Linked DNA regions of Diceros bicornis minor. The protein of the gene in region 3 interacts with the protein of the main gene of each other region in a pairwise test. Links are inferred from orthologs where the notes say so. Each region holds a gene or a part of one and is shown on either strand. Other genes may lie near its edges. The genes, in order: VIM, LURAP1, TXLNB and CEP63.

Region 1 (7,743 bases), on a different chromosome or scaffold from region 3:
GCTGCTCTGGCGCATCTACTGTGTTTCCACCATTTATGAACTGCTGCGTGCCAAAGATTTTATTTCCCCTCAAGGGAACGTCATGAGGATTTTTATACCTCTTATCTTGTAAGCAATTATATTTGGAATACAGTTTATAGCCTTACAGTCTTAAAATGCTGAGACAGTTCTAACACCTTCATGGAAAAGTGAATAAGAAATGGGTGATAAAAAGATCAGGCTTGGGGAAAAATATTCATTTTTGCTTGTTGTTAAGCCCTAAAAAAGATATAAGATAATTTACTAACCTCTATAAAAAAGTTCAGTGTGACATTCTAACTCATTGAAGAGAATGAGGGATTTTTACCTAATCCCTAAATAGGAGATCTTTCGTACCAATATTGTATATTTTTATACAATTTTTATATTAACTCACGACTCTGCGGGAAACATTACAAATATATGATCATAAACGCCCAATGACTAAAATGAACCACATATTGCTGTGTTTAAATTAATTTGGCAAATGTATTTCTGCTTCAAAATATTATTCTAGACTATTCATCTGAGAGTGCTTTTATAGCCACTATTAAGTGTTCAGGAGAACAAAACTATGCTGAGAACTTTTCCTGCTTTTGAATTCCAATTTCAAGTTAAAAACCCTTAAGTCCATCTAACTGCAAAGCAAAAAAACCCTTTTAATTAAAATTCCATTCTTCAGCCTTACGGTTATTCTTTATTTACAGAGAAAGTGCTAAAGAATACAAGAACCCAACGAAGAAAGGCCTTTCCATATGTGAGGTTATGACTGTAGCTTTAAGAACTTTCCACATCACATACTTCACAAGTCAAGGCCAGATATTAGATAACGGATGTTAGCAAATACTTGTGTCCAATTAGAACTGTGCTTACATCATTACATATTCAATAAGAATGTAGCCTGCTGCAAAGCTTCTCTGGCAACACAAAGACTCCTATTATTTCTGTCCAGAGCCACCACACTTGCCAGAATGTCTGTATCTACATTCCATAGTGAAGCCCATAGAAACCATTAATACCATTCAGCCAAGGGGACAGATGGCTCCTTTTCACCCTTCTTAGATCACAAAATAGTAGTGCATAGCGAAACTTCCCTCTAACTTTAATGCCACAGTGGAACTTGCAGAGAACAAAGGGAACTTGCTGGCTTAATTCCAGTTCAACTAAGTTTCTTATCCTCCAACACGTTTTATGTTTTAAATTAGAGGGCATAATTGCGCTTTTTGTGGCCTTGTAAAAGTTAGCCACCTTGACTTCAGCAAACCGCAATCTACATCGAACTGTAACCGTTCGGAATCAGCGTGTCAATGGGCTGCAAAAAAGAAATGGAAAAAAATATTTCTTTGGAAAAGATCTTGAAACAAAGTAAAAAGTTAAAAAGACTTTCTGTCCTAAGGAACGGCTTAAAGCATTCAAAGGTTTTTATGAGAAGCTCCAATCTGTGGTCTTTCTGCCACTAGGGGGCTTTGCGCACAGACGTGAAGATTTGCACTCTTTAGACTCGGTTTAAGTAACTTTTAGAATTGCCCGCGGGCCGGCTGGGTGGGGTCCGGTGGCTGCGAGTGGGAAGAGAATCTACAAACCTGTCTGAAAGATTGCAGGGTGTTCTCGGCTTCCTCTCTCTGAACCATCTCCTCCTGCAACCTGAAACAGTCGCACATGAATCAAAGGGGAACTGGGAAACCGCCGGGGGCGGGGCGGCCACACCCAACCGCCCCCCGCCGCGTCCCGAGACAAGAGTTGCTGCGCCACCTCCGTGGGCAGCCAGTGACCGCGGCTTTTGGGACGGCAGCCCTCGCCAAGTTTTAGCGGGACCTCGGCCGCAGCGTCGAAAAGCAATCACGGTCGCCACACCCACCTGCAAGGCCAACGCCGCCCCCCGCCCCCGCCCTCCGCCCCCGAGGAGCCTCTGCAATCCCTTTGTCTCGCTTCCTGCACAGCGATCCCCTCCTCCTCCCTCCCGCCCTAGGGCTGGCAGCCCGCCAGGTGGGGCCTGGCAACTTTCTAAAAGTTTGGGGAAATCGCGGGCTTCGACTACTGACCAAGTGCCAGTTTTAAGAAATCTGTAACTTGAAACGGGGCGTTCTTGGGCAATGAGTGGGGGTGGAGGGGAAATGCTAACTCAAGCTCTGGGTTCGGGGCGGGGCTGCGCCGCTGCAGCCACAGCCTCGCTCCCCTGCTGTCCCCGAAGCAGCCGCCGCCCCGACACATCCCCGAGGGCGTGGCAGCCCCTCGCGGGGGCCCGTTCCCCCTCCCTCCCTCCCCCCCGCCCTGCATGGGCACTGCCTTACTTCTCCCGGAGCCGCATGATGTCCTCGGCCAGGTTGTCGCGCTCCACCTCGACGCGGGCCTTGTCGTTGGTGAGCTGGTCCACCTGCCGGCGCAGCTCCCGCATCTCCTCCTCGTAGAGGTCCCCCAGGCGCGACTTGCCCTGGCCCTTGAGCTGCTCGAGCTCGGCCACCAGGATCTTGTTCTGCTGCTCCAGGAAGCGCACCTTGTCGATGTAGTTGGCGAAGCGGTCATTCAGCTCCTGCAGCTCCACCTTCTCGTTGGTGCGGGTGTTCTTGAACTCGGTGTTGATGGCATCGGCCAGCGAGAAGTCCACCGAGTCCTGCAGCAGCCGCACGCCGGGCACACTGCTCCGCAGGCGCACGGCCGAGGAGCGCGTGGCGTACCCGCCGCTCGGGGACGAGGAGTACAGGGTGCGGCTGGTGCTGGGGCGCAGCGCGCTGCCCAGGCTGTAGGTGCGGGTGGACGTGGTCACGTAGCTCCGGCTGGAGCTCGGCCGGCTCGCGGTGCCGGGGCCGCCGAACATCCTGCGGTAGGAGGACGAGGACACGGACCTGGTGGACATGGCTGCAGTGGGTGGCGGTGGGCTGGGCGGCTGCGGCGGCGCGGACTAGCTCCGGGAGGAGAGGCGAGCGAGGGCGCGGTGGGTGCGGGCGGTGGGAGCGCTGCTGCGTCTCTGGCGCGGGGACCCCGGAGCGAGAGTGGCAGAGGACGGGACCCCGCCGAGGGCGCAGTTTTTATAGGCCCGTTAGGAAAGAGGGTCCCCTCCCACTGCCATCCCAGCCGCGGAGAGCGTCAGCCAATGGGGACCCGGCGAGAAGCGAGGAGGGTGGGCGGGGGATTGGGGCGGGGGCCCCCTCGAGCCTTCCTCCTCCCCCCTTCTCCATTGCCCGGGGCTGGGCACAGTCCCGTTGCTTCTTGGCTGGGTTGGAACTTTAGGGGACTTTCCTGATGATGGTCCGAGCTCTGCTCACCCCTGGGTGCTGAAAAAGGCGGGGTCGCGCGGTGGCGGGGGAACCGGCCGGGGACTGGACAAGAGGAGTCCTGGGCAGTGCGCCAAAGAGGCGTGGGAGGAGGCGCGCGGGTGGGAGGGGCCCGAGACTGCAGGGCTGCGGTGGGCTGGGAGCGGGTAGGTGGGGAGACCCGCGGGCAAAGGGGCAGGAAGAGGGGGAGTAAGGGATCCAGCAGATCGGAAGGCGCGGAGAAAGAAACAAAGAGCGCCTGAGATTGGAGCGCGAGGTGGGGGCGCACACAGCCCGGGATGCAGGGCTGGGCTCCGCACAGCCTAGCGCACCGGCCGCTTGGAAAGGGGGACCGCCGCGCCCTGCCTCTCTTTGCATCCTCTTGTCTTGGGGGTTCCCGTTTAGGGACTTAACGGGCTCGGTCCGGCATTGGACGGCGCGAGCTTCGAGGCGGCGGCCGAGGAAAGCCCGGGGGAGAGGGGTGGGGTGGCTGAGTCACTGCGCCCTGCTGGCCGCCAAGGTTGAGGGCTCCTAGCGGTTCGAGGAAACCGTTAGACGAGACAGACTCAAGTCTCCGCCGGCCCCGCGCGCACTGTTTGTTGTGAGTTTCACCCAGCTCCGAGCTGGCGCGCCGCTGTCTAGTGTGCGCTTCGCCTGTGGGGAGACGAGAGCGGCCGTAAGTTCTTAAGAACTCGCCAAAGTCTGATTTTGCTCCAATGTGGGGACTTCTTAGCAAGAAACTTCTGCAGACCCTCGAGAGCCGCCCAGCATGGGTCTCCAACATCATGAATGCACTCGGGGAAGGTTTTTCTTGCGAAGTTTCCTCCCACTCTCCCCTCCCGTCTCCGCTCAGCCTCCCTCCTCCCCCCGTGAAGCCACACCCGACTTTTAGCACGATCTCAAAGTTCTGGGTGAAAGAGGAAACTCAGCGTCCGTAGTTTCAAAATCAAATTCAGGGATCACTGGTTTTTCTGCTGTAGTGGAAGTCATTAAAGGTATAATCTGCGCCAATTATAGAAGTAATTAGATGTTGCTTCAAAACCCCAATTTGATTAATGAAAGGCAATTATATAACGCAAATGACGGGGTGTTTGGAAGAAAGAGATTTATGTGTTCATTTTAGTTCAGCGTTGCACACTGCAGGATTCTGGTGACTTATCTGGAAAATGTCACAGGTCCCTTTGGCCTGTTTTCCAGAAGAATTCGTGCCATCGGTCTGGGAGTGAGGGAAGTAAAACCGTCTATAGAGCAAAAAACTTCTGGTTTAGGGCACCAGGGGACTTCAGATTCCACCACCAAGACCCTTCTAGGCAAATCAGTCAACTCAAGGGTTTTTGTTGCAATATTAGTAGCATGCAGAACAGAGTGGTTACCCCCAAAAAGAGATGAAGAGAGCGAAGGCAAGCCAGTCTTTTTGTGAATAAGTAGCAATTTAAAAATCACAGGGTTTTTTTTGTTTGAGTATTTAGAAGACTTAGGGAGTACTGAAAGGATTAACTCCAAAATCACTGTAAAAATAGAAGCGTCTTGATTCCATAGTGAATAGATAGGGGGAAAAAGTAAGATCATTTCCTCTAGTTTTTTTTTTTTTTTTTTTTTTTGGAACGGGGGTACTAGAGGTTACTTGGCATTTAAGAAAAATAGTTTAGAACCAAATGAAGGGTTTATTCTAGCTTCTTTGTACAAGCCTCTTTTAGGCAGTATTTTGTTTACCTCATTTCAGTTAGTTCTGGCCAGTGGTGCTGCCAAGGTCGAGCTGGAGGACCCTTTGCTGCACAGCTCACCTACTGTGGGATTCCTTTTTTCTCTGGGAGGCTGTGGGTCACTCCCAAGAAGCATTCCTGGGGTGTGGCGCCCTGGCCGACTAGCTTATGCTCCATGTTAGTTACCATCTTAATCTCTGAGAGCCCTTTATTCAAGCCACAGCTCAGCAAATGTCACCATTGCGAGTCCGCCTGGAACCCTTAGGATGAGAAAAAGCCATCCCTCTATGGGGGAAGGGTGGTGGACCTTTCTCCCGCCTAAAATGCTGATCCCAGGGCAAAGCAGTGGTGCTGTCAGGGGATGCTTGCTGACTTACTCACTATGGAAAATGAGGACAAGGCTCTGGTGCAGTGTGGCAGTGTGCCTTGTTGGTGACCACAGCAAATTCCTCTGGGCTATGGTGACCTCCTCTGGGAGGGACTCTGGCCGTCCTCTTCATCTCAGGGGTATCCCCTCCCCTTTCTAACCTGTCCTCAATCTGTATTCTCAGGACTGGGTTATGTTCACTTGCTGTCTTGGTCAGCTCAGGCTGCTCTAACAAAATACCATACACTGGATGGCTTAAGCGGCAAACATTTATTTCGCACAGTCCTGGAGGCAGGAAGTCCCAGATCAAGGTGCCAGCCAATTCAGTGTCTGATGAGCGCCTGCTTCCTCGTTTGCAGATGGCCACCTTCTTGCTGTACTCTCAGGGGGCAGAGAGAGTGCAGCCTCTTCCTTTTCTTATAAGAACACCATTCCCATCATGGGGGCCCCACCCTCATGACCTCATCTAAACCTAATCACCTCCCAAAGGCCCCACCTCCTAATACATTGGAGATTAGGGCTCCAACATATGAATTGGGGGTGGAGGGGCACAAACAGGAGGGGCATTTGCCATACAGCGCGCGTGCACACACAGATATGCAGTATCAGGTGTGTCCTATTAGAAATTGCCATAGCTTAGGATGGACCGTAGAACGTAGAGAAGTAAAGGTTACAAAAACACTTCTATTTTTTCATGTAGAATGCGTGAGACTAGGAAAGAATTAATTTCATTCTGAGATAAATTATACACTACCCAGCACAGTGCCTCAACCAATGGGTCATAGTCATCAATGAGGGAAATCAATAGGTAATAGTCAACGATGGAGGAAATCAATGGCTGATAGTCATCAACGAGGCATATCAATGTGTCTGAACTAGCATCTTTGACTATAACTAATCCTGCTATATTCTTGCCCCATGTTCTTAGTTAGCTTTTAGAAGTAAACAGTACGTAGACATAGCTTTCTCAGTTTTTGTATTTATTTTTTGATTGCTGTGAAAACATCTCAGGAGTATATTTAAATGCTAGAAGCTGCTACAAACACTGCATGATGTGAGTTGTGCTAAGGACACAGTGATACCATTTGTAGACCCGGCGTAAACATTACCAAATCTGAAGTCCTCACAGCGATGTTGGAATTTGCAAGCTGTGGTAATGTCAGTTGAATCGGGCGATTTGAGCTGATGGACCAGCCAGCCATGCAGAGAGGAGCTTAGTGGCCTGTGGAGGCTTTCGGAAAGCTGGCTGGCAGGAGGCCACGCCAAGAGGACAGCTTCTAGCTGGATCGTCTGGATGGAATGTTAGAAATGAGAAGGTGGATAAAGTGAGATGGTGAAAGCTTAGCAAAACCTGAAAGGCATGGTAATAAAGATAATAATAATCAATAATATAATAAGTGCTTTCATTTTTGTGGCTACTCAATGACAGGCACTTTGCAAGCATTTAAGCTAATTTAATGCTCTCCTAGCATCCTGCAAGATACAGTTGATCATGTTTTACAGACGAGGCGTCAAAGACACAGGGCTAATGATGTGCTCATGGTAGTGGAGGAAGGAAGGGAGCAAGCATTTGAATTGAGGTCTTTCTGACTCCAAATGCACTTTTCTCTTTGCTTGGTGATGAAATTTTGCTTACTCTAACCAATCCAATTCACAAGTATTATTTAGGGGCCTACTGTGTTTCAGGAGCTGAAGAGAGAGAATAACTATCAGATTATGTCGTGAAGGAGCAGATTCCTAGAGGAGTTTGGAAAATACTTAGAATATCATGTTTTATGTTATTTAAATGATGTTATAATGATTCATAATAGAGAAGAAGGGGGTTTGGTTTTCACCTGTACCCTAAATCTTTACTTGGTGAGTTAAACATTTTCACCTAGATTCCTTTCTCTCTCTTCAGAGGCATCATATCCAAAATTGGACTTAGCCTCATCTCACACCCTAAAACCCACCAAACAGAGCAGCTTCCCCCTCGAACTTCTCTGTCTCTTCAAGGCAACATAGCAAACTAACAAGATTGGAAACATTCGTCATCTTTGCACTTCATTACCCTTGGATACTTCAGATCCCATCACCCAGATCCAGATCTCTCTGGATCACATCCTGTCCCATTGCTTCTTGTGTCCACTCCTCTGTTATGTTGCTGTCACTCACATCCAGGCCATTTTATACCTCATCCCTGCAATAATGTAATTGCCTTCCCTTTCTCCAGGCTCTCCTTACTTCCTCCAGTGTGTCTGTCTTTGAGCCAGAACCTCTTTTTCTTAATTACTGCATTCTTAAGACTCCCTGAAGATCCAAACTAAATCACTCATTCCCTGAGTAGAATGTAGGCTCCATAAGGGCAGGGAATTTTCTCTCTTTTGCTCACTCTCCTATCTCCAGTGCCTACAGAGAAGCTTGG
Region 2 (7,166 bases), on a different chromosome or scaffold from region 3:
TTTCACACCATCTCTTTGGAAACGGGATAAACAGCTCAGGAGAGATGCAGCCTCAGAGGCCACTCCAACCCAATTCTCTTCCCAGGGGGATTCAGGTTGCTCACTCCTCCCCTTAACATGTCCACATCAGACTCTCTGCCCAGCCCTGAGGTCACAAGCATGGCTCCCACATCACTCAATCCAAATCAGGCCCTGAGGTAAAAGCCCAGAGATCCTCCCAGCCCTAGTTCCCTGGTCGTGGATTGAGATGCCCAGACTATTGTTACTAAGAAGGCTTTTAGAGACCATCTGGCCCCATAATCCCCTGACCCGCATCCCCCAAGAAGCACCAAAACTGAGGCCAAGAGAGTCAGGGCCCTGCTCAAGATCACAAAATGATTCAGGAGCAGAGCCAGGACTTGAACCCAAGCCTTCCCCCTCCTTGCCTAAAGCTTTTCCTCAAACTGCTCTGTGGGGGCTGGTTGTCATAGCAGCAGTTTTTGGGTGGGAGGATTAAGTAGCCAGAGGTTGCCATTGTTTCCACTCCCCATATATTTCAGAGTCTGGCTGGTTCACTAGACCTTTGAGTAGGGGAGGGAAGCAGCAGGGAAGAGGCTAGAGGCAGGGATGACCTTGGCCTCAAGGGCAGGCCTGCCCCCTCCCTGCAGGAGAGGGACAGCTGAAGGACAGGACTTAGAGGGCTTGGGCCGGTTCTGCCACAAGCGGCTCCAAGGGAAACCTCCTGGCCCACCCCTTGTCCTCCCCAGGAGCAACCCAGTGGGCAGGGCAGAGCGCAAAGAGATCAATGACATCCTGGCCCAAGGAGGGAGATAGGAATGGGGCAGGGATCCTTGGGGCACATAAGAAGCCCGACCCTGTTCTAGCCCCTAGAAGGCTCTCTCCCTCATGCCCTTCATGGACAGCCCAGGGCTCCAGGCCAGGCTGAGTCAAGAATGCGGAGAGACCTAATCAGGGCCCCAGGCCAGGCTGGGTCAAGAATGCAGAGAGATCTAATCAGAAGTTAAATGTACTAGGTTAAAGTTTACAAACAGGTGATCTCCACCAAAGGCAGGAAAGAGTTAGAGCCCAGGCCCAGCTCCTCCACTGGCTGCCTGTGGGAACTCAAGCAAGCCCCTTAACACTCGCCAGCATGTTCCATCTGTGAGACGGGGAATATGAGGACTGCTTTTCTCACCTCAATGACATAAAATGTGTTTTAAGTGTCTGGTACAAAGCAGCAGGTCTCAATGGGAAAGATGCAAAGTGTAGGCAGATCATCTGGGTGCAAAGCCTAGCTCTGCTTTTTACTTTTTATATGACCTTGGGCAGTTACCATCCTCTCTGTGCCTCAGTTTCTTCATCTATAAAGTATCACTTACCCAATAGGTTGCTGTGAGGATTAAAAGAACATCTTGTCAAGTGCTCAGCATGATGCCTGGCACATGCACTTGGTAAAAGTTAGTTTCCAAAGCAAGACACTCTAGATAGGCTCTTTCTAGGCCTTCAGCTAAAAGTACAATGAGGCAAAGCCAGGCCCCTCCCTGGGTGGACACAGTCACAGCCCCGCTCTGGAGAATTTGGCACTTATCTCCAACCTTCAAGGCCAAGTGCACACATGGCATTCAAATCCTTCCCCCAAGGAACCTTCCCTGATTGCTCTGCCCACAAGGCTCTCTCCAGCCTCTCAAGCTGTCTGGGACCCCATGACCTCCCCCCACCCACCCCTGCTGCTCCCTCACAGCTCAGCCTGGCACAGAGCTGGGCACACAGTGGGGCTCCAGGAAGATCTATTGGCTGACACACTCACTGTGGGCTCCTGGTTCTGGGCCAGAAAGTGGCTGGCAATTCCTCAGTTCCCCAGAACTGGCTGCAAAGTGGTGGCAGATGTAAATCAGCCCCTTCACCGGAACCAGGGCCCTAGGGAGCCTGGGGGGGCCCCAAGTGCCCTTTTGGCTCTGAATCTAGACCAGCAGCAACAGGGAAGGGGGAGGGTGCCTGTTTCCTCCTCTTCTCCCCAAGGAGGTACAGACGAGATCCAAATATCCAGTGTACCTGGGGAGCTGGGGGGAAGAGACTGAGTCAGTGACCGGGCCAACACTGATGGTGCTGTTGCTCTGTCTGCTAAGGTTCCAGGAACTTTCAAATACTTTAAGTGGGTGTGGGGGGATGTTGGGGAGAGAGGATGTTTTTGGTGGCCCCAGTCCAGGCAGTTTTCACCCAAATCCCTTCTGTGCTGAATCTTGTGTGAATACCGGGGCCTCAGAGGAACAAACCCTGGGCCCAATTTGCAGGAGGAGAAAAAACTGGTTGCCCTGTAATGGTGGCTGGGGGATAGGCAGCCCGGTAGTGAGGGGTAGGGGGGAGATTTGTGCTGTGCTAGGTTCTCAGGGCGTCCCAGTTCTCACCTCTCTCCTCCCAATTATTTGGCAGGAAAAACTTCCAAAAACCTGTGCCTCCCACCCCAGGTCCTCAGGACCCATCAATACCCCACTCATCCTTGGGGTGAGGGTGAGGGGTGGGAGTGGGGGTGCGGGGGTCTGTAATTAATGGACCCCAGGGTGTAAGGATTGATCAGGGAGGGATCCTGAGGAGTCAGGTGGGGAATTTTAACTCTCTCCTCTCCAGCCCAACTCTGGGGGCGTGAGTCCGTCCCTTCCGGTCCTATGTGGGGGGGGCTCCGTCCCTCTGGCAGGTGCAGCCCACACTCACCAGCTCCATCCTCAGCGCCACGATCTTGTCCCCCAGGCTGTGGCCCGTCCTCGGCGCCCCCGGGAGCATCAGGGCGCCAGAGGTTCCCGGTTCCCACTCGCCTCGCTGCAGCCCGCGGAGCAGCCCTTCAGGGGTCTTTCTGCCCACCTTGCCCTCCACGTCTCGCAGGTCAGGCGTCTGGGACTCCGCAGTCCCCTCCATGCGGGCCTAAGCCTGAACAGGGCTTGGGCGGCCAGACGCCGGGATCCCGCTCCCGGGGGTCCTCCTTTCTCCGCTGCTAATGCGGAGCGGAACCGGTGGGTCCCCGCCCGCGCCGCGTAGGGGCGGGAGGAGGGCGCCGTAACGCTCAGAAAAGCCGCGCAGGACACTGTTTGCGTGTGTGTATATATATATATTCGAGTGCTGCGCACGCTGCCTCTGGCCCTGGAATGCGTGCGGCTGGGCGATTCTGGGTTTGGACTTGAAGGAGCCCTCGGAGAGCTGAACGCCTTCTCCCTACCCTGGCACTGAATCCAGCCAGGCACACAGCAGGCGCCCAATAAATGTTTGCTGAATGAAGGCTAAGCATCCTCAGTTAGAGCTATGGGAATTTAAGGAACAGTGATAAAAGAGCTGCAGAGGGTTTTGGAAGGCTTCCTGGAGTAGATGAGCTGGGTCTAAAACAGTGATTAGAATTTAGCTAGTCACTGACACACACGCATACACCCACAGTGTGGCCGCTGAATTTATTTATTTATTTTTTATTTATTTATTTTTTGGGGGAGGAATATCAGCCCTGAGCTAACATCCATGCTAATCCTCCTCTTTTTGTTGACGAAGACCGGCTCTGAGCTAACATCTATTGCCAATCCTCCTCCTTTTTTTTTTCCCCAAAGCCCCAGTAGATAGCTGTATGTCATAGTTGTACATCCTTCTAGTTGCTGTATGTGGGGCGCGGCCTCAGCTGGAGAAGCAGTGCGTGGCTGCGCGCCCGGGATCTGAACCCCGGGCCGCCAGTAGTGGAGCGCACGCACTTAACCGCCAAGCCACGGGCCGGCCCCTGGCCACTGAATTTAGACTAAAGGAGTGGAAAGGAAAGTTCTTCTGGCCAATGAGGAGCAACCAGTATTGAAGCTGAAGAGGTCCACAAGGGCCAGATCATACGTGATCTTGATACTGATGCTTCTTAAGCTTGACTGTGCATATGAATTATCTGAGAATCCTGTTAATATGCAGATTACTGTTCTGTAAATCTGGGGTGAGGCCTGGACTTCTGCATTTTTAACAAGCTCTCAGGCAATGGCCATGCTGCTGGTCCAGGGAACACACTTTGAGCAACAAGGTAATGGAAAATGGTTCTAAGGTGCTTAGATTTTATTCCACAGGTAATGAGGAGCCATGAAAAACTTTTTATGGTTTGGCTTGGTTTTGGATTTTAATCCAAGTAATTCCAGTCCATGGTTACCGAAGGATTTACAATGAAAACATAGTTACCCCTGCCCTATCCTTTCCCACCTCTAGTCCCACTCCCCAGAGGCAACCACTTTTAGCTATTTTTTTCTGGTGTTTATACCTATAACACCACATAGGTTTATACTGTATCACTAGTTCTTCATTTTAAAAATTGTCTACTGACTTCCTATTATGATAAATACAACTTACCTTACTTACACTCCTTACTTCCCTTCTTCCATTGGCCCTATTTATTTCTATCATTATTTTTAGTTCATTCAATGGTTACCTTCGTAATTTTTTTTTTTTTTTTTTTTTTTTTGTGAGGAGATCAGCCCTGAGCTAACATCCGCCAATCCTCCTCTTTTTTTGCTGAGGAAGACGGCCCTGGGCTAACATCTGTGCCTATCTTCCTCCACTTTATATGGGACGCCGCCACAGCATGGCTTACCAAGCAGTGCGTCGGTGCGCGCCCGGGATCCGAACCAGCGAACCCCGGGCCGCCGCAGCGGAGCGCGCGCACTTAACCGCTTGCGCCACCGGGCCGGCCCCTACCTTCGTAATTTTAAGTAATATATTTCTCCTTAACATCTCTTGATTCATGAAAGGGTTTTAAATCAGAGATTGACAAAACAGATTTCCTTTTTTGAAAAATTACTCTGGATTTTGCAAGAAGAAAGGATTGGAGGAGTAAAAATCTGGAGTCAGGGAGAGCAGTTGGAAGGCAAGCAAACGAAAAGGACTGCACCAGGGGCTGGTTGTGAGGTTGGAGAAGAATGACACCAGAATGAAGGACTCTTTAGGGGGTAATATTGACACGATTTGGTGACTAATTACACTCATTTATTTATAGTGGCATTCAATAAATATTTGTTCAAAAAACGACAGATTTCAATAAGTATTATGGAGAGCCTACTATGTGCTAGCCATTGTGTGTGGTGCAGAGAATAAAGTGATGAGCACACAGACGTGGACTGGTTGCTGAACAGAGAAGAGGAATCAAGGGTGACTCCCAGCTGTTTGGCCTGAGGCCATTCACCAAGCAAGGGAGCCCAAGAAGAGGTCCAGGAGTGGGAAGAGATGATTCCAGCAGGAGTCGTGTTGAGTTGGAGGGGCCTGTGAAGATGTCCAGCAGGCAGTTGGACACAGGTCAGCCTGGAGCGCAGGAGAAAGGTTAGGACTGCAGATATGAGTCTAGGAATCAAGAAGGTAACCGAGGTCAGGAGAGGGGATGAGATCTTCAGGGAGACTGAGTTTGAGGAGAGACGAGAGTCAGGGAGGAACACTGAGGGACATCTTTTTCAAATGATAACAAAATGTATTGAGTTTTCTTCTGTTCTAATACGTAGTCATTAGGAAAAATCACCTATTGCCTCAACTCCTAAGACAAGTACTGTTAACATTTTGGGGGATATCATCCCACCATTTAGAAAACAGATGGACTACGGAGAGCTCAGAAAAATCTAACTGGTCTTCTGGCGTCCTGTTTCCTATTAGCACATTCTCCACAAAAAGGTAAAAGTTCTTTTAAATCAGATTATGTTGCTCTCCTGCTTAAAACTGTTCCATGGCTACCTACTTCAAATAAGTGTCACTGTCACCTAGAAACTTCTTAAAGATGCAGCATTCTTCTCTGCCCCAGATTACTGAATCAACTTCTAGGAATGGGGCCCAGCAATCTGTGTTTTTTTTTTGTGAGGAGATGAGCCCTGAGCTAACATCTGCCAATCCTCCTCTTTTTTTTTTTTTTTTTTGCCAAGGAAGACTGGCCCTGGGCTAACATCCATGCCCATCTTCCTCCACTTTATATGGGCGGCTGCCACAGCATGGCTTGACAAGCAGTGCGTCCATGTGCGCCCGGGAGCACACGCACTTAACCGCTTGCGCCACCTGGCCAGCCCCCCAGCAATCTGTGTTTTAACAAGCCCTCCAACAGATTCTGATGCACACTCAAGTTCAAGAACCACTGTGTTAAGCTAACTGCTTTATATGTATTATCTCATGTAACCTTCACATCAACTCTCTAAGTATTACTATGGTGCAGGGGTTAAGAGTGGACTCTGGAGCCAGGCCGCTTGGGTTTGAATTCTAGCTCTCCCAGCTTGGTGACATTGGGCCTCATTAGTAATAGTACCTACCTCATGGGGTTGTTGTGGAATTAAATGAGTTAATATAAGTAAAGTGTTTAAAACTGACTGGCATACAGTCTGCATCATATCAGCACACCCCTATTTCACAGAGAAGGGAACCTACGCCAAGACCTGAAGTGACTTGCCCAAGGTCTAGGTGATTAGCAGAATCAGGTTTTTAATGTCCCTCGGCCTCCAAAGGCCCTGCATGCCCCAGACCTGGGAGAAGCCTCGCCCAAGCAAGGGGCCAGGGTCGCTGTGTCCCAGGCTTGTCGCCCCTCTGACCCCGGAGCGCCGTGGGGTCTGGTCCAAGGCTCTAGGACTCCGACTCGCATCGCTTTGCCATCCGGCAGTGATGGCGGCGGAGAGGCTGCCCTCCCCCAGCAGCCCCCATCCCGCCGCCCGCGAAGCGGCCGCGGCTCCGAGCGCTCGCGGAGTCACGGGCTGCAGACCGCCCGCGCCGCCCTAAGCGCCGCCCGCCGCCCTCTCACCCCGCGGCGGCGGCGGCGGCGGAAGCGGGGAGGCGGGCCGGGCCGCGCCGGGGCGGGGCCGCGAGCGGCATGGAGGAGGCGGAGGCCTCGGCGCGCCGGGCCGAGCCGTGCGGGCCCGAGCGGGGCTCCCGCGAGGCTCGCGGCCCCTGAGCCGTGAGTGCCTCCGGGCGGGGGTCTTGGAGGGGTGACGCGGCCAGGGCAGGTCGCCCGAGTCGTCGGGAGCCCCGAGCCCCGGGAGGAGAAGAGTTGGGTCACGTAGGAGGGGGCGAGGACGGAGGACGGGGAGGGGGGGGTGGGTCGCTGCCCTGTGCCCGCTCTAGGACTGAGAAGGCTGGGTCTTGGGCCTTTTAGGGGCTGGTGAACCTTGAGAGCCGATTATTTGGCCTCCACCGCTGGGACCCTGGGCAACCCTTCAGTTCCCCCAACC
Region 3 (6,978 bases):
ACCAATTCTGTGTTCAGGAAACAGCATTTTTGACAAATTCTGTACTTGATTCTAGTGCACACTTAAGTTTGAAAATCATTGGTCTAGACGATGGTGCAGTGTCATTTAATTGATAAACAGCCAAGAAGCCTGCTCAAGTCCCTTGCGGACAACTGAAATAATATTGTCATATTTTGATTAGCCTAAAAATGTTGTTTTAATTCATAATGTAGCTGAAATGGTACAGTGTTTAGAAGAATATGCTGATAGTATTCAGAGAAATGCCAAGGAAGGGTCAGCAGTTTACACACATGTAATTAGGTGGACCCACCTGGGCGCTCTGATACACAAACATTGGTTCTGATCAAACACATTCAATTGAAATTTGGTAACCTGTAGATAGTGGCAGAACTAAAGTTGTGGAGTTTTTTCTTTCTCTAAAATATTTTGATTATTGGTAATTATAAGGTTACCATAGATTTTGAAATAATTCAGGGAAGACAGAGTAGTGGTCATCTTGAACTTTACCTCTGCTTTCTTCATATCCATGCCCCCAAGACAACACATACAGATTCCTATATAGAAGTAGTTTTAGAGTGATAAGCAAAAGAACTTTCCTGGTTAGGTACACTTGAAATCATTCATCTCTGCCACGTGACTTTGTGTTGTCTTATGGAAAGTTTAACAATGACAAATGCAAAGGGATATTGCTGAGATGCTTTTGATAGAGAAGGAAAAATGGCTCTGTAAAACAAAGCAACTTCATTCTCTTTCCCAGAGTTCCAGAACACTAGAGTGATGCTAATCTTGCGATTTGGAATTTGGTATTAGTTGGGTTATTTTAATCTTTACGCTGGGTAGGTCAGGTGTGCTATTTGAATGTGCCTTTCAGCCCTTCTTGAAAGTATTGCCAACAATGGGTTTTAAGCATCATAGTGATGTCCTATGTCAGCATAGACATACTTTTGGGTTTACAGATAACCTGTTACTGGAGTCTGAACCCAGTTCTCACTCCAGTACCTGTGATCCTTCACTCTGCCACACTGTCTTCCAGAAATGAGTAAGACATGGTCACTGCCCTTGATAGATTCTCCATCCAGCTTGGGAAGTAGGCATGTAAATAAAAGATTACTGTAGAAAAATTAATGGAGAACTAAGGAAGGCGATGCTTCCTCTACCTGGGCATGTCAGAGAATGTATCACAGAGGTGGCATTTGTAGAGAGTGCTACAGGGAAATTCACCAAGGAAGGAAGACAGAGGGACTCTCATGTGTGCAGTAACATGCTTTCACTCGTAGCTAGAGAACTAACTCTCTCACCCTCTTTCACAGCCATTTTTGGTGTAAACAATCCACCATGCTCTCCTAACAATTTTCATGTGCCTGTTCTCACACTGCCCTATGTAACAACTAGTTTGCATGTTTGTTTCTCTCTCCATACCTAGAGTGCCTTAACCAAACGGTCTTGAAGATTTATTTATCTTTGTGCACCTAGCACAGTACCTCATGAAGACTAGACATTAATGAATATTTTGCTGAACCAATTAACTAACCAGAGTAAAAATATTTTCTGCAATTTTTGACATTCTATAATTGATACATTTCCTAAGTTTTGTTAAATAAAAGAATATATAGTAATGGAACATACTACTAAGTGATCTAATTGACAATCATTTTATATACAGAACCATCCCTATATTTATATTTTGTTTAAATCCAGATTCCACTAGCTTTGCTTTAAACAGTTTTCCTTTCATTCATTCACTCATTCATTCATCCTAATAACAAACATTTATTGAGCATCTAACATATGCCATCCACTGTTCTAGACACCAGGCATCCAGTGATATCCAAATATACACAGTCTCTGCTCTTGAGGTAAAAGAGCTGATGGGGAAGTCATGCATGAACCAAATAATCACAGAAGTAAATGCATACTCTCAAATGCTGATAGACACTAGGAAGGGAAGATGCATGGTGCAATAGAAACAGAAAACAGGAAGACTTTATCTAAGGTTGGGCTAAAAAGATGCCATTTGAGTTGTGAGCTGAAAAATGAGTTAAGTGTCCAAAGGGCTGAACTGGGGAATGGGCAGGAATTTCTAGGTGGAGAAAATAGGAGGGACCCAGGCCCTGTAAGTGATGGAGCATGGCATGTTCAAAGAACATGTTTCAGTTCAAAGAACTGAAAGAGAAGTTCAGAATGTCTAGCTGTTAGGCTGTAGCAGTGGTGGTGGTGACAGGGGCAGAGTGTCCAGGAAGGGGACGTTGTGGGGTAAAGTGATGGGACACAAAGCTGGAGAGATGCTTAAGGCCTGAAAGACCGTATTAAGAATTCTGGCCTTTGTCCTAAGAGCAGTGGGAAGCCATTGAGGACAGAGGGTAGGTGGGTGACATGTTGAAAGTTCACTTTAACTCTATCTAGGGGAAACGCCTGGGGACAAGTACAGTAAGAGAAGATGCAGGGAGATCCTAAAGGAAGCTATTGTAGTAATCCAAATATGACATGTGGCTTCTAGTAAAGGCTAGAGGAAGTGCCCCTTTTAGGAATAATTCAAAGAAAAGTCATACATTAGAACATAACTACTTGCCTAATCCTTTTAGGATTTTCTTTTCCAATTTTTGCTCTTTATTGCTGGCAGGCTCTTTGGCTGTGAGGGGCTCTCCAGAAGCCACGGGTTCTCTCTCCGTCACTTCAGTGGCCTCCTCGCCATCCCCGTCCTCATTGTCAGGTGGTTCTGGGTTCTCAGGCTGTTCCTGGGCCTTGGTGGGACCCCCTTTCCCTGCCGTGCCGGCAGTAGGCCCGTACGTGTTGATGATGTCTTCCAGTTGTCGATTCAACTCTTCAGAGATATCATGAGCTCCCTGCTCAGGCTGCACACCTGCCTCCTCCTCTGATGCTCGGAGTGGGGTTGAGGAAGCCTGATCATCTTGCTTCTCCAGGTCATTTTGAGCGGGTAATGATGAAATGTCCCCAGGAGGTGTCGATTGGGGGTCCCCCGGGAGTGGCACAGAGTGATTCGTCTCCATACCGGGAGTAGAATCTAGTGGAAGCCCAGCAGGTTTTATGTAGTTAACCTAGTTAAATGTAAATGGTAAGGATAGCCTCAAACGGATACCTACTAATTACAGTTTCTAACATAGAGTGAATGTACTTTCACAAACCATCAATATTGCAATTAAGTAGGTAGGAACAGTAGGAAGCCATTTTTCCAAATTGGGTCTTTTAGCATACTTTGGTGTTGGTCTTTTTGGTGGACATATTTGTCATTTTGCTTAGAATAGCCCATTTGTGTTGCAATTCTCATATAATTCTATGTTGATTTACAGTCATTGGAAGTACATGGATGTATACATTTAAAATGTTTAAATTTTAAATGTTGTTTTTTTCAAAGTTAAAACATTTAATGCAAAATCCATTGAACTTACTAAAATTATTCATAACAATAACATTCCTAAACTATTTTAATCTATAAATGAAGGTTTGATTAATATGAGTACATTGATGTAAATGAATTATTATACTGGTTACAGGAGATACTTTGTTGCTTTTCTGGTATTTTCCTTTTCCCAGATGAGTAACGTGTAATTATCAATCAGGAAAACACTATTCTTGAGGTTCAAACTAGCATCGTTTTTGAAATAAGACAGAAAATGAGGGAAGATATAAGTTAACACACAAACTAGTATGAAAACATGGTGATACTCATAATAATAATTCCTTGAATTTCTATAACGTATTTTTTGTTCCAATATAAAAACTAACTTTCTTTTAGAAAAAAACATTGCAACCTTCCCTTCTCAGTCAAGAAGCCCTAGGATAAGTTAATTTTTAAGAAATAGCAATGTTTAATGAACAGGGAGGGAATGAACTAGGGAAATAACCCAGATATAATATGGGCTCTTTGGAAATAGGGGATAAGGGACTAGCTGAGTCAAGGGTTCTAGAGTTTATGGCTATTGCCATTTCTAGGGTTGTAATAGATTTGGCTTAGGCCTTTAAGTTATGGTGCGTTTCATTTGTAAGTGATATTTAATGGTGATGCTGCTAATTAGCAGCATAAAAATATGACAGGGTCCTCATAATGCACAGGTTTTGCTGCTGTGTGGCTTGAGAGCGAAAACAAAAACACACTGTTCTGTGCACTGCACAGCTTCCTCCCCCCAGCCTCAGGGCAGCTGATGTCAAATGCTTGAACACCAAGAACAGAAAACTCAACATACAGACATTGCCACCCACTTGTGACCCCCAGCAAGGACTCATTAACTTAGAAGGAAGTGCTTTTTCTCTCGCCCATCTTAATTCACCACCTTTATTATCAAATGATGCAGTAGACAGCTTCACTGTCTCCATCACTGCAATCTCTTTATCCCGACACTTACTTGTTGGGCACACTCATCTATATATAACTTACGCCTCCCCTGAACTTGGAGAGAGACACACGGCACCTGCTGTCCAGCCAGGAGTTATTTTAAGCTCTTCTAAAAGGAGCCCTGGCATTTAGCACTTCATCTTTGAAAATCAAAGGAAGAGAATACTTTTTAATACAAATTGAAAACAGCAAACATTTACTGGTTTAAATCCAGATGTGGGTTTTAAAGTGTTAGGAGGCTTCTTAGGATGAAATAAAATCTAAAGTTAACCAAACTTCAAAGCAAGGAATTTAAACTGATTGTCTAGAGGAGTTTTAGTGTCGTTAGTCTAAATGCAAGTGTTTTGTTTGTATTTGATCTATTCTTCATTCATCAGAGGCCATAATCATTGATGTTTTTTCTACTAATTCCGTGGATATCCTTTAAACTCATGTTCCACATTTGCTTTAAAATAGAATAACTGAGTTGTTATAAACCACAGGACAACTCAATTCGTAAAAGTAGCCTCAAGATAAATCAACAAGAGGAAAAAAACAAAATCCAACACCTCTGTTACTTTTAAATTGTCTCCTTCCATGTTGATTAATTTAGCAAGAAATTATTTCTAAATTTTATCTTCTATAAACTTTATTGCCTGTCTTTTTTGTCCTCTGAGAGAATTTTTCACGTGTACTGGCAGTCCCAGCAGATTATCACACACACGTCCCTTCCTGAGCAACACAGTTTAATTATAAATACAACAATGGAAAGTTCTTCAACAGTTCACTGGCAATCTCAAAGGTGCAAGTTTCGAACACCACAAACCGCACCCAACACCTTCTCACAGGGCTTGGGGGAGTGTTTGTCACACTTACCAGAAGGCAAGGAGCTGAGCAGAAAGAGAAAGGAGAGGCAAGAGGCAGCAGAAAGCTAGTCAAAGCAGCAGCAACAGCAGGAGACAGGCGGGCAGCTGTGTTCTTACAGGGGAGAGAGACCAAACACACACACACACACACACACACACGCACACACACACACAGGCACCGAGGCCGCAGGAGAGCAGGGAGGGGGCGGGGAGGGTAGAGGCACATCCTATGACACAGCAAGAGAGAAATACACCCAAGCTTCTGTAGCAGTCTCCTGGGCAAATGTCTCAGAAAAGAGGAGCAGCTGATAGATCTTATCAGACTCCCCATGTTTCATCCTTTTGAAAATGTAAACTCTCAGTATACAGCCTCTTTGCTAGCACGATTTTTCACCATTGTTGTTCTTTTGGGCAGAGATCGGTTTTTCTTATTTCTTGGTTCATTTCCAGTGTGGTTTCTGATTCATCTCCTTTTTTTCCCCTCTTACGCTAGCCTAATTAGTGTCAGGTTTCTTAAAGGAATCATGGAAAACAAAAAACAATGGCATAACAAAAAGGAGGTGCTAGAACTACTTTTATTCTGATGTCATTGTTTGGTTTGTTTGTAAAATTTGAAATAAAAATTTAGACGGTTATTTAGGCTGTGGGTTTCGTGTCATTTTCACGTTCATGGTAACTGGAGGGACCTCTGATCCCACCTCTTACTCAGGTGACTGCCTTCTAGTCTCAGGTACTGCCTTCCCATCTCAGGTAAGCCCTGGGGGAGGCAGTCTGCTTTTTCTTCCTTAGTTGGAGGCTTTCCCACCGTACACACCCAAGACTCCCCACCTCCAAGACTTGGAAGCTTTTCCAAGTCTTTCCCACTGTTTCCAAGCTCTCAACCTGCTCCTTAATTCTCCCCAGGAAAAGCACCTCCTCCTCATTCACCATAAAATGCCTCTTTCTTTTAACCTGCATCCACTCCCCTTTTCTTTCTGTTTCTGGAGAACGTGTTCCCATACTTTGCAAAGCAGATTCCTCCATCAGTGTCTGCTCTTGGTACAGGCTGGGCATTGTGACACCCCCCTTGTGGTAGGCAGAATAATGCTATCTGAAAGATTTTCACATCCTAGTCTCCTGAACCTGTGAATATGTTACTTTACATGGTGAAAGAGACTTTGCAGGTGTGATTAAGTTAGAGATATAAGGGATCATGAGATGGGGGGATTATCCAGAATTATCCGGGTGGGCTGAATGTAATCAGAAGGGTCCTTACAAAGGAAAGAGGAAAGCAGGAGGGTCAGAGTCAGAAAAGGAGAGTTGATGACTCCAAAAGAGGTCGGAGTGACGTGGGGCCACAAGCCAAGGAATGCGGGAAGTTTCTAGAAGCTGGGAAAGGCAAGGAAATGGATTCTTCTCAAGATCTTCCCAAAGAAATGCAGTTCTACCGACATCGTGATTTTAGCCCAGTGAAACTCATTTTGGATTTCTGACTTCCACACTGTAAAATAATAAATTTGTGTTGTTTTTAAGCCACTAGATTTGTGGTAAATTGTCACAGTAGCAAGGGGAAACGAAAATATTCCACCCCCAAACATTTTCCCAACCCTTTCTCCAAGTTCAGAGTAGGCATAAGTTATGTATAGATGAGTATACCCAACACGTAGAGGTCAGGATAAAGAAATTCCAGTGATGAAGAGAGTGAAGCTGTTTATTGCACCATTTGGTAATAAAGTTGGTGAATTAAAATGGGTGAGAGAAAAAGCATTTCCTTCCAAGTTAACGAGTCCTTGCTGAGGGCCG
Region 4 (7,358 bases), on a different chromosome or scaffold from region 3:
AAAACCCTCATGGTTACCTTTGGAGGTTGCTAGGCCACCAACTCATTATCGTAGTCTGAAAATAGAGGGAAAGAATTAAGTATTTTTCTTGCCTTTCCTGCACAAACTGTATTTCAAATAGCTGATGGCAGTCAAATAACTGGTGGGGAAAGTTCTTCATAAAAGATTTCCAGCTAATAAACACTGAAGGAATGATAGAACTAGAAAATCACCATTTTGCAACCCCTAATGCAATAATGGTTATAGGCAATCTAAATCCATGGAAAGAATTCACCATCGAGCGAAAGGCTCATGGGGAATTTCATGATGGCTGGATTGGGCTGACAACACCTGAAGCCACTACACTGCTCAATCTTAATATCACAAAAAGAGACAACTGAGACACTGCATGCCTCTCTGATAACTAATACAATAGGATGTGTACTGCAGCACCTAGGAAATCTTACCCCCACCACCAAAAAAAATCAAGGTTGAATCTGATCCAGCTTCTAGATCAGTGCTGTTCAACTGAACTTTCTGCAATTATGAAAATATTTTCTATCCACACTATTCAAATGGTAGCCACTAAGCACCTGTGATTATTGGGCACTTGAAACGTGGATAATGCAACCAGGTAACTGAATTTTTAGTTTTATTTCACTTTAATTCATTTAAATAGCCACAGCTTGCTGGTGGCTACTATAGTGGACAGTGCAATTCTAGCTTTAACTACTGGTTCACAGGAAATAAAGGGAATAGATGTACATGTTAAAGGATACCATGTGGATGCAATCAGCTAAATCTAGAATGTTAAGGGAAAAAAGGGAGGCAAGGACTGCTATATTAAAAGATTTAAAAGGTGTATCAACCAAATGCAACATGTGGATCTCTATGGGATTTTGATCCAAACAAGTTAATTGTAAAAAGACATTTAAGGGACAGTTGGGGAAATCTGAATCCAGACTGAATATTGACATTATGTAATTTTTTTAATTTTCCTAGGTGTGATGACAACACTGTGGTTTTGTAAAACTGAAAAAAAAAAACTTAGCTCTTGGAGGGGAAAAAAAACCTAACATAACATAAAAATCAAAAATTCAGTTCCTGAAACCTATATTAATGTTGGCTTCAGCTGAATTTCAAATCAAGTTAACATTTTTTTTTTTTTTTAAGTAGGAAGCTCTGATAGAGTGGACTACTGATGCTGTCACCACCAGCCACCACTACTACACAAATGAGAATACGGATGACCAAGCAAACGTCTCCCACCTATTAATGGGAGGAAAATGGCATCAGTACAATTAACATACACAATTATTACAAATAATTTTAAAACTTGAATCTACATACATCTTAAAGGGCGGTGTGACTGTCTGAATGTTTATAAATCTCTAACCTATTTTAATTTGTCTTTTACTATCCTGATCAGTGATAATGATATAGTCAAAGGGCAAGAAGCTCAGGATAAAAATCAATCTAAATATGGTACTGCAAGCTGAATAAGAAAATACATACACCTTATCGTTAAGCTACAGCTACGATAAGTAGAAATGTAAATATTTGAAAGTAACATGTAGTTGATGATCCTTATGACGATTTCCTCTTCATAGCTATAAAATAAAATTAAATGTAAGCATGTGGGGAACTGCATAACTACAGGGTACCTACCCTACAATACTGCTTTATTAAAGGAATTAAAAAACTTTTTTCAAAGACCGGTTTAAGGAATCGGATGTAAGGCTCAATGAAAACTACTTTGTGCAAATAAGTGCACTGTAACTGTAAACGGAGACCAGTCACTGACAGCAGACTCTTTACTCTTCTGTTGTAAGAGACATAAGCAAAACCACGCTATGAGCCTAGATTTACTGTCTTCAAATATCTTCATGATTCAAGTGTTCCTACAGAACCGTCCCTTTTAAACTCTCACTCTATCATTTATTTCCCATCCCTGATCCGTATGGAGCAATCCGTTAAGTTCAGGGTTCCCCAACTTCAGTCCTTCACGATTTCTGCCACAGTTCCGTATCTCCTGTACTAACATTAACGTTTGTAAAGCAACTCCCTTGCTAAAAATCGCTAACCTCTCCACCACACATGAACCGGTATCACCCGCCGTCCAGGACCTAAGTCGCACCTTGCTAGGGAGCTAACAGGGCACGGAGCCCGGGCGGGAGGGCTGTGCCGGGGTCCCTCCCCCGGGGAGGAAGCCTGGCTCCGCCAGGGAAGGTGAGGGCCCGAGAGCAGCTCGCCCCCGCCCTTCCGCCCTCCCGGCCTCCCAGCCTCCCAGCCTCCGGGTAGAGGCTGACCACCTGGCTGGCGCGGACGGCGCGCCCGGCACCGCCATAGTCGCCTTCGCGCGGCCGCAGGGCGTCCGCGGCAAGGACGAGGGGCGGGGCGCCGGGGCGGGCCCGGGCCGGCGGGGGCGGGCCCGGCGGCAGGCGGGCAGCTCCGGAAGCCAGTCCCGGTCCCTGGGGCCGCGCGGCCGGCGGCGCCACTGCAGCCAGAGCGGCCTCCAGCCCAGAACCCCTCAGGCCCTCGCCGGCCCTACGTGCGCACATGCGGTTACGGGCTGCCGCGAGCGCGCCCCCGAGCCTTCCCGCCGTTACCTCCGGCCGGGGGCGCGCACGCGCGTCACCGCCAACCTGACGTCCAGCCTCCGTCGCCGGCACGTTCGTTCCGCCCACTGCGCCCTCACTTTGAATTGACACTACGTCCTCCCTGACCTCCCCTCCGCGCCAGCAAATGGGCTCACCCACATCCGGGGATCGGAGAAAAGGGCGTGCGGATCACGTGATGAGGAGGGCGGGGTCTGGCGGAAGTGGTGCGATCTGGGTCGGGTACCGGTAAGGGTTTACCGCGCTGCAGGCCTAGGTTTTGGAGGGGCGGGATCGCGTTGTTCCTCAGCGTCGCGCTTCTCCAACTTCCGTCGGCCGAAGCTGAGGCTTTCATTTCGTTCTCATACTCATTCGCCTATCACACGCCGGGTCCGGTGGAGAGGACTCGCGTGGCGGGCCTGGACCTCCCCCGCTCCGCTTTTGGTACTTCCAGCCCGGGCCGGAAGGCGCGGCGGGGGCAGCCTCACCTGTACGACGGTGGTGGCCTGCGAGGGTCATTTCTAGTGAGGGAAAACGCCTTCCTGCTTTGATCGCGGAGCTGCGCGTTTACAGAGCTCTGGAGCACAGAGAGGCCTGCCCCGGGGGGCGCACGCACCGTCTGTCTGGGAGGACGTGTAACCGGCGATGTGGCAGCCTCCCGTCGGGACCGTTCATGAGCCCTGGGAGCCATGGGACCCTTGCAGGGGCGGGCGCGCGCGCGCCTGGGTCTGGGGGAGGGCCTCCTGCGGGAGGCGACCCGAGAGTTTCTAGACTGACTGGGGATTAGCTGGGGAAAAAGAGTAAAAAGCCTTCCAGGCATTGGGACTGTCACGTGCGTAAGAACAGTTTGTTCGGGAAACTGGTAGTGGTTCGTTCTGTCGAGTGTGGCAAGTGCTTGGGACAGTGGCCGTGCCCTGGACATCGCCTGTCTTGATGCTTTCCACTCTTCCAGCCCCTTAAGAGTGAAGGCAATTTAGCGCCCAACTGTGGAAGGAGGACGTTGATCCGGAAGAGCTGACGCACACTTTGAGTTTGGAGGGAAAAGTAGGTGTTAGTGCTGGGGGAAAGAGGGTTTTAAGTGCAGAGGCTGGCAAGTATGAGAGGGTTAGAGGTGTTTGGAAAAGGAACGGGTGAATAAAGATTGAGGACACATTGGGGGAAGATGTGCTGAGGCATTGATACAAAATTTACACATAACAATCCCTATGCATACATAGCTTGTCAAGCCATGCTGTGGCAGCGTCCCATATACAAAATAGAGGAAGGTGGGCACAGATGTTATCTCAGGGCTAATCTTCCTCAGCAGAAAGAAAAAAAAAATCACTTGGAGACAATTATACCTGAGCAGTGGGTTGCAGAGGCGACCTGACTTGTTTAGTAGATGTTAAGGACAAGAAGGAAGCATTTGAGGGCCGAGTGCCTGCTGAAGCTGCTGTGATTTTAGAAAACTTGACAAAAAGATGGAATCTGTGTGTGACTGGGAAAATCGGCTGGTTTTGGTCACCTTAGAAAATTAAGGAGGGTATCCCCAGGGGCAGAGCAGCAAGGACGAAGGAGTGGCAGCAGGAAAAGGGAGGGGTCTTATAGGACTCCAGATTTTGGAGTCCAGGGACTCCAAAAGTATAACTGGAACTGAGGGCAGGAACTCCTTGTGTGTGGATTTCCTAAAGACAGGTTCCTTGGCTTTCACTTGTCCACTGGGCAGTCCTGGATTAATCGTTGAGTTAAACGTGAAGACCTCATCATGTTCACTGGTGGCAGAAGTAGCTGGGCACCTTTTGCTTCAGTTTTGCCTGGATCCTTATCATGGGGGCAAAACCCTTCTGCCACTACAATCTGTACAGTTATTACAGGTATTAGGGTTACCTTGCAATCACACTACTGGGGACAAGCACAGGCCTGTATGAAGGAGTTGGATTCTGCACCTGAAGATTGTTTCTTGTATGAATCTTCATAGTCTCAAACTGGGAATAAAAGAGTGCCTTTGGTGTCATTGGCTTCCAAGCCATCAGGATGGCTGCTTTGTAGCAGGTGGCACAGTAGGGTGGTGTCTGGTGCCTGTGATGAAGAAGCAAGAGCCCAAACTTGGAAACGAGATGCAGAGGTGCCCTCCAAGCTGGCAGCAGCCGTTTAGGAGAAAAATAGGGAATCAGCTGTAGTCAAGGAGCTAAGTAAGCCGCTTGACTGCTTGGGCCAGGCATGGAAGGGAGTATGGCGTTGAGAATCAGAGGAAGGAACCCTGAAGGGAAACAGACACGAGCAGCATGGGGTACTGCCACTGTTGTTCACCTAGAGGTGCTCCTTTCAGAGCTCAGGCTGGGCGCTGTTTTCAGAAAGGAAGCAGTTTCTTTTACAGGCTCAACTGAGGATTTCTGTCAAATCTGTCGTTGGTCACTTCGTGTAACCCTGTTCAGCATTATCTCAGTGTGTTCATTTAGCTCCTGTGCCTAAGAATGCTGAGATTAGAGCCAAGGCAGGTGGAGACTTTTGTAAAAATGGTGCAGGAAAGGCTAGAGGGGCCAGAGAGGAGACTTGGTTATGCATCAAGGACCCATCAAAGGCATCTCAAACAGGGAAAGGTGAGTGTGCAATTTAGGAGAGAAAAGCTACATTCAAGATGTACTGTGGCCTTGTAAAGGAGGCCCTCAGGTATGTTGGCCTCCTGTCACGCTGTGACACTGGTCTGTCAACTGGGCTATGTCTGATGTCTGTCCGATAACACTGTAAAGCTGAGCAGTGAGGGGGCAGGAGGAAGGGACTGTGATCTTATAAAGTAAGTTGTCACCTGACCCAGGCAAGAGGTGAGTCGTTCCCAGGGTGATGTTATCCCAAAAGACATATCCAGGCCGAAAAGCCTGGGAACTCCGAGTGCGGGATTACGTCATCTCAGTCTTCGTGTTTAAGAAATAACCTCTTTGGCTTACAGATCTGACAAGATAAAGCTGCCGGAGAATGGACAGTGAGGTCCAGAGAGATGGAAGGATCTTGGATTTGATTGATGATGCTTGGCGAGAAGACAAGCTTCCTTATGAGGATGTCGCAATACCACTGGTAGGTTATAGTTTGTGCTGAGGATGATGGGTTAAAGGTATGATCTGGTGGGTCCTGGTAGAGGTAGGAATCAGTGGACAAAAAAGCTAGCAGGGCAGAGAAATCAAAGCTGTGGAGTCCTCTAACCCTAGAAGCCTCTGGAGCGCATTTAGCTCAAGTCTTTATTTGAAGAGAACTGTGGTTCAGAGAGCTGATATGACCACCTTGGCTAGGGGTCATGCCAGGCATGGAACACAGGTCTTCTGAGCCGTGTTCTATCCACCACACCAAAGCTAGTAAACTGGATAATGAGAGTTTAGTGCATTAGAAGGAGAGGAACAAGAAGCAGTGGCATGAGCACTGCATTTCTAACTTCTCTACCTGTGGTTTGTCAGTTGACATTTTTAGAAACTCGCACTCTTGGTACACACACCTATCCCAGGTTCCCTGGAAAATATTCAAAAGACACCTGGCTTTTCTTCTTTTGCATTTAGACCAACAGGCTTCTGGAATACTCTTTTCTTTCCCAATCTCTGGAAAACTCTCCTGCAAGGAGTTTGTTAAACTTCATGAATAAGTTATGTAAAAGTTTTGCTTGTATAAATGCCTATTAAAAAGTCCTATTTATGTCATAAGAGGCCTAACAAAAAACAAGGAGAACAGGATTTAGGGACTGTTTTTCTTTAGAGCATGCCAACTGCCCTGAGAAGAGCCATTAATAAAAAATAGCTTGGAGGTAGATGATCTGCTGCTGTTATTTACAGAGAAATAAAATTCAGCTCACCCACATTTTCATTTAAGAATAGGAGATAATAATATGTTTGATGGATAAAACATATCAAATAATAAGTCACAGCTTAGTTTGAGTTTACAAAAATAGTCAAAAGAGCATAATGAGAATTATAGCTGCTACTTATTGAATACCAGTTTTATGCCATGGACTGAGGTTGAAATTTGACATACATTATCTCTGATCCTCAGAGCAACCTTGCAGGGGTGGTGGTGTTACCCCATTTTACGGGCAGGAAATAGGATCAGAGAGGGGACCTTGTCCACAGTCTGGGTTGGACTTCACACCTAGGTCTGTGAGGCTCCAGATCATGTCCTGTAAACTTTAGTTCATTCTTTCACTCGACAAGCATTTTTTTTAAGCCTACTGTGTACCATGAGACTAATTGAACATAAGATGTAGTTTCTGTCCCTAGAGGTCTAAAGAGGTAACATAGATAAATAGTTATAAAAAGTGTCCTAAGTGGGGGTCATGAACAGCTATGTAGTATTGGAGGTGGTTGATTGCCTGTTGGCTCTCAGGAAAGGCTTCAGAGAGAATGTCAGAAGGGAGGATCAGAAGTTTAGTCAGGTAGACAAGGGCACTCCAGCAGAGGGGACAGAGGTGCAAAGGCTCCAAATTTGTAAAGGCTTTGGGAGATGGTGAGGCATTCAGTGTGGATGGAGAATATGTTGTCATATAAGTAGGCAGAAAAGTTGGGCTCGGACCAGATTTGAGAAGAGTATTTGGTGCCGTGCTTAGACCTCATCCTGGGGATATCCAGGAATGAGTGGTCTTCAGAGTGGAAGTCTGCCATGCTCAGTTTTGGGTTTTGGAAAATCAGTTTAACAATCAGCATTGTTAGAGAATGTCTGCCGTGGAGAAAGGGGCAAGTGACAGGGCAGAGAGACCAATTAAGAAGCTATTGCAGTGGTCTAGGCAAGGGAGGAGGGCCTGAACAAAGATAAGAAAATGGAGGAGAA

What was found.
Region 1: the proteins of TXLNB (region 3) and VIM interact in binary tests that used the Homo sapiens proteins (3 or more experiments, as listed by UniProt). The two-hybrid records come from large-scale screens. The link is inferred for Diceros bicornis minor from reciprocal best matches to the Homo sapiens genes TXLNB and VIM.
Region 2: the proteins of TXLNB (region 3) and LURAP1 interact in binary tests that used the Homo sapiens proteins (3 or more experiments, as listed by UniProt). The two-hybrid records come from large-scale screens. The link is inferred for Diceros bicornis minor from reciprocal best matches to the Homo sapiens genes TXLNB and LURAP1.
Region 4: the proteins of TXLNB (region 3) and CEP63 interact in binary tests that used the Homo sapiens proteins (3 or more experiments, as listed by UniProt). The two-hybrid records come from large-scale screens. The link is inferred for Diceros bicornis minor from reciprocal best matches to the Homo sapiens genes TXLNB and CEP63.

Annotation. Positions count from the first base shown.
Region 1 is NC_080775.1:17,452,127-17,459,869, reverse strand, and holds the start of VIM (vimentin), read right to left. Parts: upstream 3,023-7,743; 5' UTR 2,873-3,022; coding exon 2,310-2,872; intron 1,663-2,309; coding exon 1,602-1,662; intron 1-1,601. UniProt on the Homo sapiens protein: Vimentins are class-III intermediate filaments found in various non-epithelial cells, especially mesenchymal cells. Vimentin is attached to the nucleus, endoplasmic reticulum, and mitochondria, either laterally or terminally.
Region 2 is NC_080752.1:9,099,118-9,106,283, reverse strand, and holds the start of LURAP1 (leucine rich adaptor protein 1), read right to left. Parts: upstream 3,020-7,166; 5' UTR 2,890-3,019; coding exon 2,689-2,889; intron 1-2,688. UniProt on the Homo sapiens protein: Acts as an activator of the canonical NF-kappa-B pathway and drive the production of pro-inflammatory cytokines. Promotes the antigen (Ag)-presenting and priming function of dendritic cells via the canonical NF-kappa-B pathway.
Region 3 is NC_080778.1:19,217,712-19,224,689, forward strand, and holds the start of TXLNB (beta-taxilin), read right to left. Parts: upstream 3,009-6,978; coding exon 2,570-3,008; intron 1-2,569. UniProt on the Homo sapiens protein: Promotes motor nerve regeneration. May be involved in intracellular vesicle traffic.
Region 4 is NC_080741.1:18,003,256-18,010,613, forward strand, and holds the start of CEP63 (centrosomal protein of 63 kDa), read right to left. Parts: upstream 3,014-7,358; 5' UTR 2,932-3,013; coding exon 2,735-2,931; exon of another isoform or gene 2,704-2,734; intron 2,669-2,703; exon of another isoform or gene 2,589-2,668; intron 2,197-2,588; exon of another isoform or gene 2,117-2,196; intron 1,109-2,116; exon of another isoform or gene 161-1,108; coding exon of another isoform or gene 18-160; intron 1-17. Other genes in the region: ANAPC13 (anaphase-promoting complex subunit 13), read left to right, coding at 5,529-5,627. UniProt on the Homo sapiens protein: Required for normal spindle assembly.